Arabidopsis thaliana: one gene and its partners. The protein of the gene in region 3 purifies or fractionates together with the protein of the main gene of each other region. This does not show direct contact. Each region holds a gene or a part of one and is shown on either strand. Other genes may lie near its edges.

Evidence for each region.
Region 1: the proteins of AT4G28440 (region 3) and AT1G53070 fractionate together in Arabidopsis thaliana (co-fractionation; one large-scale study listed by BioGRID). This does not show direct contact.
Region 2: the proteins of AT4G28440 (region 3) and AT1G53060 fractionate together in Arabidopsis thaliana (co-fractionation; one large-scale study listed by BioGRID). This does not show direct contact.

The regions. Positions count from the first base shown.
Region 1 is NC_003070.9:19,776,396-19,779,947, reverse strand, and holds AT1G53070 (Legume lectin family protein), read right to left. Parts: upstream 1,816-3,552; 5' UTR 1,578-1,815; coding exon 759-1,577; 3' UTR 501-758; downstream 1-500. Other genes in the region: AT1G53060 (Legume lectin family protein), read right to left, coding at 3,168-3,552.
Region 2 is NC_003070.9:19,774,108-19,777,530, reverse strand, and holds AT1G53060 (Legume lectin family protein), read right to left. Parts: upstream 1,609-3,423; 5' UTR 1,480-1,608; coding exon 751-1,479; 3' UTR 501-750; downstream 1-500. Other genes in the region: AT1G53050 (Protein kinase superfamily protein), read right to left, coding at 2,000-2,218, 2,302-2,709, 2,803-2,911, 3,038-3,138, 3,240-3,423.
Region 3 is NC_003075.7:14,057,532-14,062,920, forward strand, and holds AT4G28440 (Nucleic acid-binding, OB-fold-like protein), read left to right. Parts: upstream 1-2,364; 5' UTR 2,365-2,522; coding exon 2,523-2,790; intron 2,791-3,245; coding exon 3,246-3,439; 3' UTR 3,440-3,855; downstream 3,856-5,389. Other genes in the region: AT4G28430 (Reticulon family protein), read left to right, coding at 315-852, 933-1,086, 1,179-1,253, 1,337-1,478, 1,582-1,651, 1,763-1,828, 1,913-2,241; AT4G28450 (WD repeat and SOF domain-containing protein 1), read right to left, coding at 4,193-4,355, 4,462-4,550, 4,721-4,826, 4,941-5,066, 5,164-5,249, 5,353-5,389.

The sequences.
Region 1 (3,552 bases), on a different chromosome or scaffold from region 3:
TGATGATTGTAGTCAAATCACATCGTCGTAGGTAAAATTATGAGATGCTGTCTGTCCAAGCCTCGACAACGAGGACACACTCTTCAATTGGATAAAGCAAAAACACTAAAAAAATATCTCACTGAAAGAGGGAGAATACGAAATAGATATGAGAAAGAGCGTATATACAACCACGATATATAATCTCAAAGAGCATTCATCTCTATCACACTTTTACAACATAATCTGAAAGAAACGAGACAACTTTCCGACAATTCATCAAGTCCTCCTTTCCTTCGTTCCTAGATCTCTCATTTTCCAAGTCGCATCATGGAGTGTTATAATCCACTTGGCATGTAACATTTCCTCTTTAAAAGTCTTCCACAAAACAACATAGTTGGTAGTAGACTCTTTTTTTCCGGTAAACATGTTAAGATGTTTTAGACTATTTTGATAGTCCCATAACTACGATCTCCACATTTCTCCTATAAATCTGATTCTCATCTAGTCATGTTGGCCAATTTTGATAGAATGTAAAATCATTTTTTCTTTTTTTGTCAACGAGAAATGTAATTTAAAAGTGACTAACATAAAAGATTAGGAACGAAACGTCCTTGATTTCTACTAATCTGACAACAATAATACATCAAATTGTCGGTAAGACATAAAATGAGCAATTATTTCACTTCAATTATCACAAGCTGAAGGCACACCAGGGTAAACCAGAAACATAAACCAAAAGAAAACCGATGATCTCGAACCAAACCAAACCTGTTTTCTTAATTCTGGAAAGTCCAGTCCCAAATCTCGTGACGCTCGACACCACGACCCATCGAACCAGCAAAACCGGTATACATTACCTCGTGTATGACCTTGGAAAGATCGAATTTTGCTTCAATCAATGGCCGGTTCGGTTTCTTCAAATGCGCTAAACCAATCGTAACAGAGACTACTTTATAATTGTTGTTGTACTCAATCCAAGCCTTGTATCTATCTCCACTACTTAGCTTCAAATCCTTAAATAACCAACCGCTTCTTGTCATAACCCAATAACCGGATTTCACAGAAACCACCGAATCAACCGAATTAATATCGATTCCGACATGGTTATCGTTCATGTCGCCAAGAGATTTGTCTTGAAAGACATCGAACTCAACGGCAAAGAGGTGGTTATTAGGATTACCGTTATTGGTTCGGTTCAGAAGACTGAGATAGCCTAAACCGGAACCGGCGTCGTTTTGGTTACTTGGGACGACGATGAAAGCAAGGCCATGACCTTGATTAGGGTTTGTTTTAGGAGTAATGGAGAAAGTGAAAGAGGTTTTAAAAGGGTAAAGAGCTGAAGCATTAGGCTTGAAAGTGATTGGAGTGGTGAAAATGGCTCGACCATGAGAGAAAGGAATGTTGTCTCGAGTCAATGCGATGGCTCCGGACCGGCTCTTGCCATCAGTGTCAGGACCATACTCAGCGTCTCCATGGAATGATATTGGATCGGTGCCGTTACCAAAGTAATCGAATTTGAATTTGTAAGCAGTGGTGACTTGAGAGGTGAAGATAGCTAAGAACAGAGTGGTGAAACAGAGTATTTGGATCTTCATTTTTTAGTTCTGTTTTTGGGAATTTGGGAAGTGAAAGTGGTGAACTTTAAAAGATGTGAGTGTTGAAAAGATCGAGAAGACTTAAAATAATTGAGAGAGAAGAGAGACAAAGAATTTGAATTATGGCATTAGATGACAAAAGCTGTTCTCGAAAGTGCACAAAATGGTTCTACTTTTTCTGTGCCCACAATGCTGAAAACAAAAACGTTATGAGTGTATAGGAGGAAATTAAAACTAGTATTGATTGAATAAACTTATATATGTATATAAGTTAGTCTGTCCTAATATATAGGTTAGGAAAGATATAAGTTAGTCCACATTCATGATCAAATCTATCATATTTCATTAAGTTATACCAAAACCAAATTTTTCTTAATTAACAATATACTATGTGTCCTTTATATATTAAAAGTTTTTAGTGCTTATGTGACAATCCCACATTTTTTCTCTCAGCTTTTTTACTATTTAATTATTTTGTTATAACTATCAATTTGTCAAACACATTTTTCTTTATCCTCATTCTCTTTAAACCATTTAGTCATTTACCAAACACATTTAAATTTTTTTCAAATATATAGAGTTACCAAATCATGTATTTTTAACTTCTCTTATTATCACCAAATTAACAATTTCCATTATGTGTATATATGTATATTAAATGGTTAGATTTTTCTTTAATGTCATTCAATTTGATTATGACCTAAAAATTAACAAAGTTTGATACTAAAGAAACATTTGTTTACTTTTAAATCACTCCATTTAACTTTTAAATCATCACCATTTAGTTCTAAAGTTTTTAAACCAAAATAGAATGTCTTAGTAAATAATATAAAATAAAAAAATAAAAAAAAAATATATTAAAAAAATCAACCTAACTTATAAATATACTTTATTGATAAAATATGTATATATATTATTGGATTGTTTTTGTTTAAACCATGCAATGAAGTAATCATTGGATTGTTTTTGTTGTTGCAAACTTGCAATGAGGTTACAAAAAGGGAAAGAAGACGAGACGACTCGTCCAGAAAAAGGTCGGAGAAATTTTGAGATGAGAGCCAAATCAGGCGAAATAGGGCTTACCCGACTTGATGATAAAGAAGTATCATGATATGGTTGGATGTCATACGTATGTGTTCAAATTTCCTTACTGGTACATTTTTTTTGTGTGTGGAGAGTAGTCTATTTTCATGGTGTGATTAAGTTTGTATACCGAGTTTCACTCAATGAAACGTATTGTGTGAGAATATGTTTCAAATGACGAATATTTGTAGTTAATTCTTGACATAGATCGTTGCAGGAAAGGATCTATGTTGAAGCCTACATAGGCACATGCCTTACTGGTTTTTCAGCAATTTACCGTCTCATAGAAGATTACGATATCTAATAGTTCTTACTATGGAAATGGATCCTTTATTGTAAATCTTTCTAGAAATCTGAAAGTAGATACATGGCACGTTAGGCCATAACATAAGCATTTATTAGCCTTCAACTATCACTAGCCTTAGCATCACGAGATTCACGACAGAAAACGAAGCTGCAAAACCAGTAACAACTTTGACATAAACAAAGCTGAAGCAAACCGGTTTATTAGTCTTTGGCACTGTTCTCAAAACTCCAGTCCAAGATCTCGTGACGCTCGACGCCACGTCCCATTGAACCGGCAAAACCGACATACATTTTCTCGAGAAAAACCTTAGAAAGATCGACTCGTGCTTCGATCAATGGCCTCTTCGGTTTTTCTTGTGAACGTCCGATCGTGACTGTCACTTTCCCGTTCTCGTACTCAATCCAAGCCCTGTATCCGTTTCCACTTAGCTTCAATTCCTTGAACAACCACCGGTTTTTTCCTTCGATTTTTGATTGATACCAATAACCGGCCTTCTTAGATACCGTTGAATTAACCGAATTATTGTTGATTCCGATATGGTTATCGTTAATGTCGCCAAGAGACTTGTCTTTAAAAACATCAAAC
Region 2 (3,423 bases), on a different chromosome or scaffold from region 3:
AATAAAAAAAAAATATATTAAAAAAATCAACCTAACTTATAAATATACTTTATTGATAAAATATGTATATATATTATTGGATTGTTTTTGTTTAAACCATGCAATGAAGTAATCATTGGATTGTTTTTGTTGTTGCAAACTTGCAATGAGGTTACAAAAAGGGAAAGAAGACGAGACGACTCGTCCAGAAAAAGGTCGGAGAAATTTTGAGATGAGAGCCAAATCAGGCGAAATAGGGCTTACCCGACTTGATGATAAAGAAGTATCATGATATGGTTGGATGTCATACGTATGTGTTCAAATTTCCTTACTGGTACATTTTTTTTGTGTGTGGAGAGTAGTCTATTTTCATGGTGTGATTAAGTTTGTATACCGAGTTTCACTCAATGAAACGTATTGTGTGAGAATATGTTTCAAATGACGAATATTTGTAGTTAATTCTTGACATAGATCGTTGCAGGAAAGGATCTATGTTGAAGCCTACATAGGCACATGCCTTACTGGTTTTTCAGCAATTTACCGTCTCATAGAAGATTACGATATCTAATAGTTCTTACTATGGAAATGGATCCTTTATTGTAAATCTTTCTAGAAATCTGAAAGTAGATACATGGCACGTTAGGCCATAACATAAGCATTTATTAGCCTTCAACTATCACTAGCCTTAGCATCACGAGATTCACGACAGAAAACGAAGCTGCAAAACCAGTAACAACTTTGACATAAACAAAGCTGAAGCAAACCGGTTTATTAGTCTTTGGCACTGTTCTCAAAACTCCAGTCCAAGATCTCGTGACGCTCGACGCCACGTCCCATTGAACCGGCAAAACCGACATACATTTTCTCGAGAAAAACCTTAGAAAGATCGACTCGTGCTTCGATCAATGGCCTCTTCGGTTTTTCTTGTGAACGTCCGATCGTGACTGTCACTTTCCCGTTCTCGTACTCAATCCAAGCCCTGTATCCGTTTCCACTTAGCTTCAATTCCTTGAACAACCACCGGTTTTTTCCTTCGATTTTTGATTGATACCAATAACCGGCCTTCTTAGATACCGTTGAATTAACCGAATTATTGTTGATTCCGATATGGTTATCGTTAATGTCGCCAAGAGACTTGTCTTTAAAAACATCAAACTCAACCGCAAAGAGATGGTTCTTGGGATTACCGTTGCTAAACCGGTTCACAAGACTGAGATAGCCTAAACCAGAAGCGGAGTCGTTTCTATCGTTGGGGACGATGATAAAGGCGAGGCCATGACCGGGATTAGGATTTTTCGGGCGAGGACTAATGACGAAATAGAAAGAAGTTTTGAAAGAGTAGACAGAGGAAGAAGTAGAACTAGGCTTAAAAGGGACTGGATTGATGAAAATGGCTCGACCATGAGAGAATGGGACATTGTCACGGCTCAATCCAATTGCTCCTGACTTGCTCATACCATCAGGCTCTGAAGCGTACTCGGCGTCTCCATGGAATGTCATCAGATCAGTTCCATTTCCGAAGTAAATGAAGTCGAAACTGTAAGCAGAACACGTTATGGCGTGAGAGCAAAACAGAGCAAAAAACAGAGGAATGAAACAGAGTGTTTTGATCTGCAATTCTGTTTATTTTTTTCTTGGATATGGAAAGTATAAGAGGATAACAAGATTTATATAGTGAAAGAGAGCCAACAAAGTTTGACTCGACAAGATCATTTATTTTTCACAAGTAAAGATCTCGTAACACCTTTCTTGGTAAATTTCATAAAAAGTCACAAATTAAAAAGTTCAACTTTTGGAACATTTTCTAAATTATGATATATAACTCTGTTTCTACAGCTTTCTTATAATAAAATAATATCACATTACAGGGAAGCTAAAACGTGAAAAGATTTGATTCTATGATGATATATAATCTTTGAATCAATAAAATACAATTATTTTTCACTCAAAATACGCCGTGTTAAAAGGTTTCAGGCAAATGAGGTTCGGTTTGATCATTTACTTTTGCCTCACTGATGGATCAACGGCTAGAAACAGATGAGGGATGATTGGTTGCGACTTGTTGGCTCGAAGCTTCGTCAGCTTGAAGTTTCTTGACTCGAGCCTTATCGATTCGTGCTCTTCTCACAGCTTCTTGGATATGTCGGTCATGGTCTTTCAACACTTGATCCATGTTTCCTGATGGAACCACTAACGGTCCTGAGTAATGAATCTTGTGCCCTTTTGATCCATAACCCAACTGCAAACCAAACCATACAACTCAGAATATTAACATTGCTAGTCTTCTAAAATTAGCAAAGGAGGGACGTTTAGGGAACTTACGAGAATAGGGTCTTTCTTGTTGCTTCGACCATTCTCTTCCTGGTTTGCTTCTTCAGACGTTTCCTTGAATGAACCTGGAAGCCGAGTCATTCCTCTGCAAGTCTCTTGTTGTGGTGCGCCTGTTCTTGTTGCGGCAAAACCAGGCATTGCTGAGTAATCAGCTATGGATGAAACCTTTTGAGAATCTTGGTAATTCCGTCTACCCTTTGCGGAAGCAGATCTACGTGATAGAGGACCAGAATGTGAAGCTCTCTTGTGAGGAATTATATTGCCCTGAGATTCTCTGTTTGGTTCAAATGCTTGTGATGACGGCCTTGGTGGATCGATTGGGAAACCGGATGCAACTTCTTCAGGATGTGGATTAAACTTCTCGCTTCGACTTCTATTAGTAGACTGGCTCTGCCTTTTCTGCAATGACATAAATGCGAGAGGGTCAAAAACGTTGAATAAAAGCAAAAAGCTTTAACATCGAAAGAAATAGATTTTTTAAGATTTTTTAACCTGCATTGATGCAACCAGCTCTGCATTTGCGTCAGGGGCTGGGATGGCTCGAGATTCCTTAGTTCCTCTTCTTTCTTGGTGTCTTTGGTCCCTGTTTCCTCCAACTTGTCTACAAAAACAGGAACTAGATTAAAGCATTTCTATAAATATTTCTTTTTGCGTTAATGATACTATGCTATCGTAAGAGCATTGCAGGATAAAAGTCACATCAGACTAGAAAATCTGGATGGCATACCTTCTACTTTCCTCATCCCGCATTCTTGCATCGAGCTCTTTGCTGGGAGGATATTTAGGCAAGCTTGAAGGATCACATGGAAGAGGTCTGGTGGAGAAGAACTGAAAATAAAAGAATGATAATTTGATGTTACAAAAGCGATTACCAGGAAATACAGACGCATAAGAACACACAGCTTTTACTGCCTGAGTAATGCCAGTACCTCACTCTTGAGAGCTGCAGTGGCAGTTCCACGATCGTCAGGATTGACTGAAAGGAGAGTTTCAAGAAGGGCTAAAGCTGGCTGAGGAAACTCCTTGAATGTTTCACCCACTAAGCGTTTATATGGTTGAGTAGGCTTGAAAATTGTTGCATGAGGCAACCTTGATTTTACCCAATAGTCCTCG
Region 3 (5,389 bases):
TGTTTGAGTCAAGTAGAAAAAGACATGAATAATGTTGAATCAAGACTTTATCTTTACCGTTAAAAGAGACGGACCCACTTTGCCGCCGTCAAATTTAAAAAATGCAAAAGATTTGTCTTTTACTTTCTTTCTTCATCAACGGCTCTCTGATCCACAGTAGCCGGAGAAAAAGCAGAGAGCTCAAATTGTCGGAATTAAGAATCCCCAAATCACATCTTCAAGAACCCTAATAAATTCCCAGAGATTCCTCTCATTTAATCACTTCAGATTCGAAAAAAGTTCTCTCTTTTTCCCAAAAAAAACTTTCTCATACAATGGACTCTACTACCACACCTCCTTCTCTCCGTTCGAATACTAGATCCGCTTTGCGTCTAGCTCGAAACAACAAAACTCTCGTAAAATCTCACATTCCATCTCTCGATTTGGTTTTATTGTCTCCGAAGAACAACAACGGTACTCCTTACCCATCACCTGTTTCTCTCAGTTCACCATCTTCTCCTGTTACTCTTCGTGAGATTCTCCTTTTATCTCCTTCCCCTCTTCGTAAATCGAGAACCCGTTTAAGCAATCGGTTCGATATGGAAGCTGCGGAGGCTGCTGTGACGGCACGACGGAGTAAGACGAAGGGAGGGCAAAATGGTCTTTTGGCCTCGCCGTCGCCGAGGAATTTCCGGAGGTCGAGACTAAGGTCGGAGGCGATGGTAGATACAAAGGAAAATACGGAGCCAATTGTTGTCGTGACCGATGAAAAGAAACAAAACCAGAGGAAACAGAAGAAGTTGGGTCGATCTAAGAAGGAGAAGCACAGTTCTGTTCCTCTGTTAGCTTCTCCTAGTCCATCTTCAGATCAACGTATGTCCTTCCTCTGTCTATTAGCTCATTCGATTTCACTTTCGTGCTCTAATAATTGCTCAATGATTTGTGTAATTCAGCTCAAGATGTTTGTCAAGGTGATTTAGAGCGGATTAGAGAGAATATAAGCGATTTGATTATGTGGAGAGATGTTGCGAAATCAACACTTTGGTTTGGTTTTGGCTGTATATGTTTCCTATCTACTTGCTTTGCTGCTAAAGGATTTAACTTTAGGTAACATTGATTTCTCTGTCAAGGTTTATCTTTCTAGCTTTAATCATTTTTCACATTCATGAGTTGATAATGAAACTTTGTGTGGTTTGAAGTGTTTTCTCAGCGATCTCCTATCTTGGACTTTTGTTTCTTGGGGTATCGTTCTTGTCAAATACTCTTCGCCAAAGGTACAAACTTTTAAGGTCCCAGTACATAAATATCAGCTTGAACTGCAGTTGACTGAAGTTTTGATCCATTTGTTACCATAAAGGGTTACTGAAGAAGCGCGGAGAGAGCTTAAATTGAGTGAAGATGATGTATTACGAATAGCTAGACGAATGCTTCCCATCACCAATTTAGCAATTTCAAAGACGAGTGAGCTTTTCTCTGGTGAACCAGCAATGACACTCAAAGTAGAATTTACAAAACTTTGCCATTCTCATAAAACTTCTCTCCAATGAATGTGACTCTCACGTTGATTTTGTCCTTCTTACACTGTTTTTACTTTGATTTCAGGTGGCACCTTTTGTTCTAATGGGAGCTGAGTATGGTTACCTCATAACATTGTGGAGATTATGTGCTTTTGGTATGATTGTTGAAACACTATATGTCAACATTACTCCAAAGAAAGCTAAACTGTTTTCTTTAGTTGTATCTAGTAGAATTGACACAGAGTATGCATTGTTTCTTTAAACAGGTTTCTTCCTTAGCTTCACTATTCCAAAGCTATATTCATGTTACGCAAGTCAGCTTAACCAAAAAGGTAAACTCTATTAACAGACTGCGTAGCTCTTTGATGGTTCCAATGATTGACACTAAGGATTCTTTGATCTTTGCTTATGTGTAGTTGAGTGTGCACAAAGGAGATTTGTTGAAGCTTGGGGAGTTTGCACACACAAGAAATTCGTAGCAGGCTCTGCAGTTACTGCATTCTGGAATCTAACTTCTCTCAAGACCCGTTTTATTGCAGTGTTTATCATAGTAGTAGTAATCAGATACAGACGACAGAATCTACAGTTAGATTCCGAGGATGAGGAGGAGAAGAAGCAACAAGAAAAAACTCACCCGGAGCAACAAAAATCGCCGGAGGATAAGTCAACTTCACCGCGGTCAGCAGAAGAAGAGCAAGCGTTGGTGCTAGTTGCAGAAACCAAAGCACCAAAGAAGCTTTATTAGTCTAGTCACTAGTGTCTTTTCAGTATCCACCTGTGTAATAATATTTCACATTTACGTAATAATAAATAAAGAGCAGTCATTAATATCAAATAATAAATTGACACGTGACAAGCTCATGAAACTGTGAGAAGCAGGTGATAAAAACTCTCGTCCGTCTTGGGAGAGAGCACATCGTCGTCTTTTCTTTATAAACCCTAAATTCCCATTTCTCTTCTCCAAAAGTTTTATCGATTCCACCAAATTAGGGCGAACGCGAAATCTGGGTATTGTAATTTGAAGCGATGGCGACGACTGGAACTGCTGCGGTTGCGACGGGAACTTCGACGGTGAAGAGAAAACCGGTGTTTGTGAAGGTGGAACAGCTAAAGCCTGGAACGACTGGTCACACGTTGACTGTTAAAGTCATTGAGGCTAATATCGTGGTTCCTGTTACCCGGAAGACTCGTCCAGCGAGTTCTCTGAGTCGTCCTTCTCAGCCTAGTCGAATCGTTGAGTGTCTCATCGGTGACGAAACTGGGTGTATCCTCTTCACTGCTCGTAACGATCAAGGTTATTGTTTCTCCACTTTTCTCTTGCTTTATGGATATAGAAATGGTGTCTTCGTAGTTTATTAGAGTGATAAGTCTTATCCTTTGTTGTTCTCTCGTTTGTCTTAATCAATTTCTATTTTGAGCAAATGGTAAATGTGTTTCTATTAGTACTATTTGGTAAATGATGTATCAGTTATTGTATGTGTATTTAGTGATGTCTTTGTGAAATTGAAGCTTGAAAGAATCTTGGCCTTGAGGGTCTGTAACTCTGTATAGTCTTACCTATAGTGATGATGAAACTTGCTTGGTTAGATGTTGAGTTATGTTCAATTGAATGGTCTACATTATCCCAAAACTTTCATAGCTTTTCATAATGTGAAGTTTTGTTATACCAGTTTTCGTGCAATTGATGTGGCTACTGATTAGCTCTAATGATGTTATTGGTTTTTTTTGTGTGTGTGTGTGTGTGTATAGTTGATCTTATGAAGCCGGGTGCTACGGTGATACTGCGCAATTCAAGGATAGACATGTTCAAGGGTACAATGAGGCTAGGAGTTGATAAATGGGGACGCATCGAAGCCACTGGAGCCGCGTCTTTCACTGTCAAGGAGGATAACAATCTGTCTCTCGTTGAGTATGAACTGATCAATGTTGGTGGTGATCAGTGATCTTTTAGTATGTTTATGGAGGTTAACCCCTGAGAGTGTTGGGTTCTGATTTTTCTACCGTGAAGGTCTTTGATTTAGATGATGAAGATTGTATGACTGGTCCAGAGTTGCTTGTAGGAATATGCTTCTTCTTTTTTACCCTAAAATATGCGGTCATGATCTTGCTCTGGAGAACTATTGAGCCTGCGGTAATGGCGTAATGCAATTGTTCCTTTTAATTTGTGTTGATGTAAGTTAAAGACCATTGAGAGCTTGCTTGTGCACTATCTAATACAGTAAAAATAAGTTTTTCTTTCTTAAACTTTACTAATGTCTTTGTTTTTTCATTAATTACTATTTGATGTACACTATTGTACCCTCTCGGTTACAGAGAGTTTTGCCCAACTTTTTACATCGAAAGCATCTCATCCTTGATTAATGTCATTGTTAAGACAAATTGTAAGTGCATAAAATTCATCGACGGATCATAGAACCATTGTCTAGTTAAGTCGGTCTAATTCCAAACTTTATAAATCTTTGAAATCAGAATGTTACTTTGAAGATCAGCTTTGTAACACCAAAAACGAATAGTTAATGAACACAATACGTAGTGAAGAGAAAAAAGAAAACGAAATGGGTAATAACTTAATGGCATAAAGAAAGGCTTACAACACAGCAAAAATGTTCATGTTCCTAATCTTACCCTCACTATACCAATACAATCCTCTCCACGTATCATCATCCTTGAAAGGAACAAACGGAGAAAGAGTAGAGTCACTCCACTTCTTTGATGATCTTTCTTTTGCGCAGAGGTGCTGTGACCACTGTTCCTGGAGCACTGTGAGCTTTCCTTCGTGCTTCTTTTCTTCTCTTCGAATCGTTCACAGTTCGAATGATACCCATCGCTTTGTATATTGGTTTTGGCAAGTGCCTGTGTCTGTAATTCACAATAACCAAAACGTTACCATGTTACTATAGTTATCTTTTGACAATCTCCAGAGTTAAAGCATGGGATAAAACCACAGTTTTCATTGGTCATTTACCTCACAATGCGCTTAACCTCAGAAAGATGCTTGTACCGGTTCTTCACAGCCTCGTTGTACTCATGCTTCTTTTGTTCCCTTGGAAGAATCTGCAGCACAACACACCAATTAACATTGACAATTCACCGTTCCAAGTTAAAACTTCTTAAGAAAGCATGTACGAGTAATATCTCATAATCATATGCACTATTGGATCAACTGCTAAGCCTGTGGTAACTCTTTTTTGGTCTTTATTTTGTATAAATTCACAGAATCTTACAACTCCCAATTGCTCTGATGCCTTTGCCTTCCATAGCCTGAGATTGGTGTCATCACTGCCCGATATTACATATGTAGCATCACAGCTATATTTGACACAGAATACTCTACAAGAAAAAAGAAATGAAATTTAGAAATTGCTTAGACTAAATCAAATTACCAAGGTGGTACACTAGAACATCTGAACTTGAAGTATATATAGACTGTTCAGTAGATTGTACCTCTGCATCCTCTTTGTATGGTAGATTTCCCTGCTGTGTCCTCCATTGTATGGGAAGATTCTCACAGATCGATCATAAGAACCCGTAACAAACTCACGACCAGTCGGTGAAAAGTCAATATCCATCCTGAAAAATGATGAAATTAGATAATCATAATGCATTTGGATGATATCTTGTTAAATATTATAGCTGATACTTGAGATAAATCATTCTTCATTCTTACACTGCAGAAACATGATCTTTATGCACGCACTTGGCTTCGTCCAACTTTCTACCATCAAAGCTATAGCAACTTCCATCTTCATTAGCCTATTCAGTTTCCCCATGGGATAAAATTAGCACATAAGCAAAAGACAAACGCTGATTTAGCATAGCCCATCACAGAAAAATTCACTTTATGATTATCACTTACAGCTGTCAGGTTCATAGGCTCCATGGGGTTCCATGCA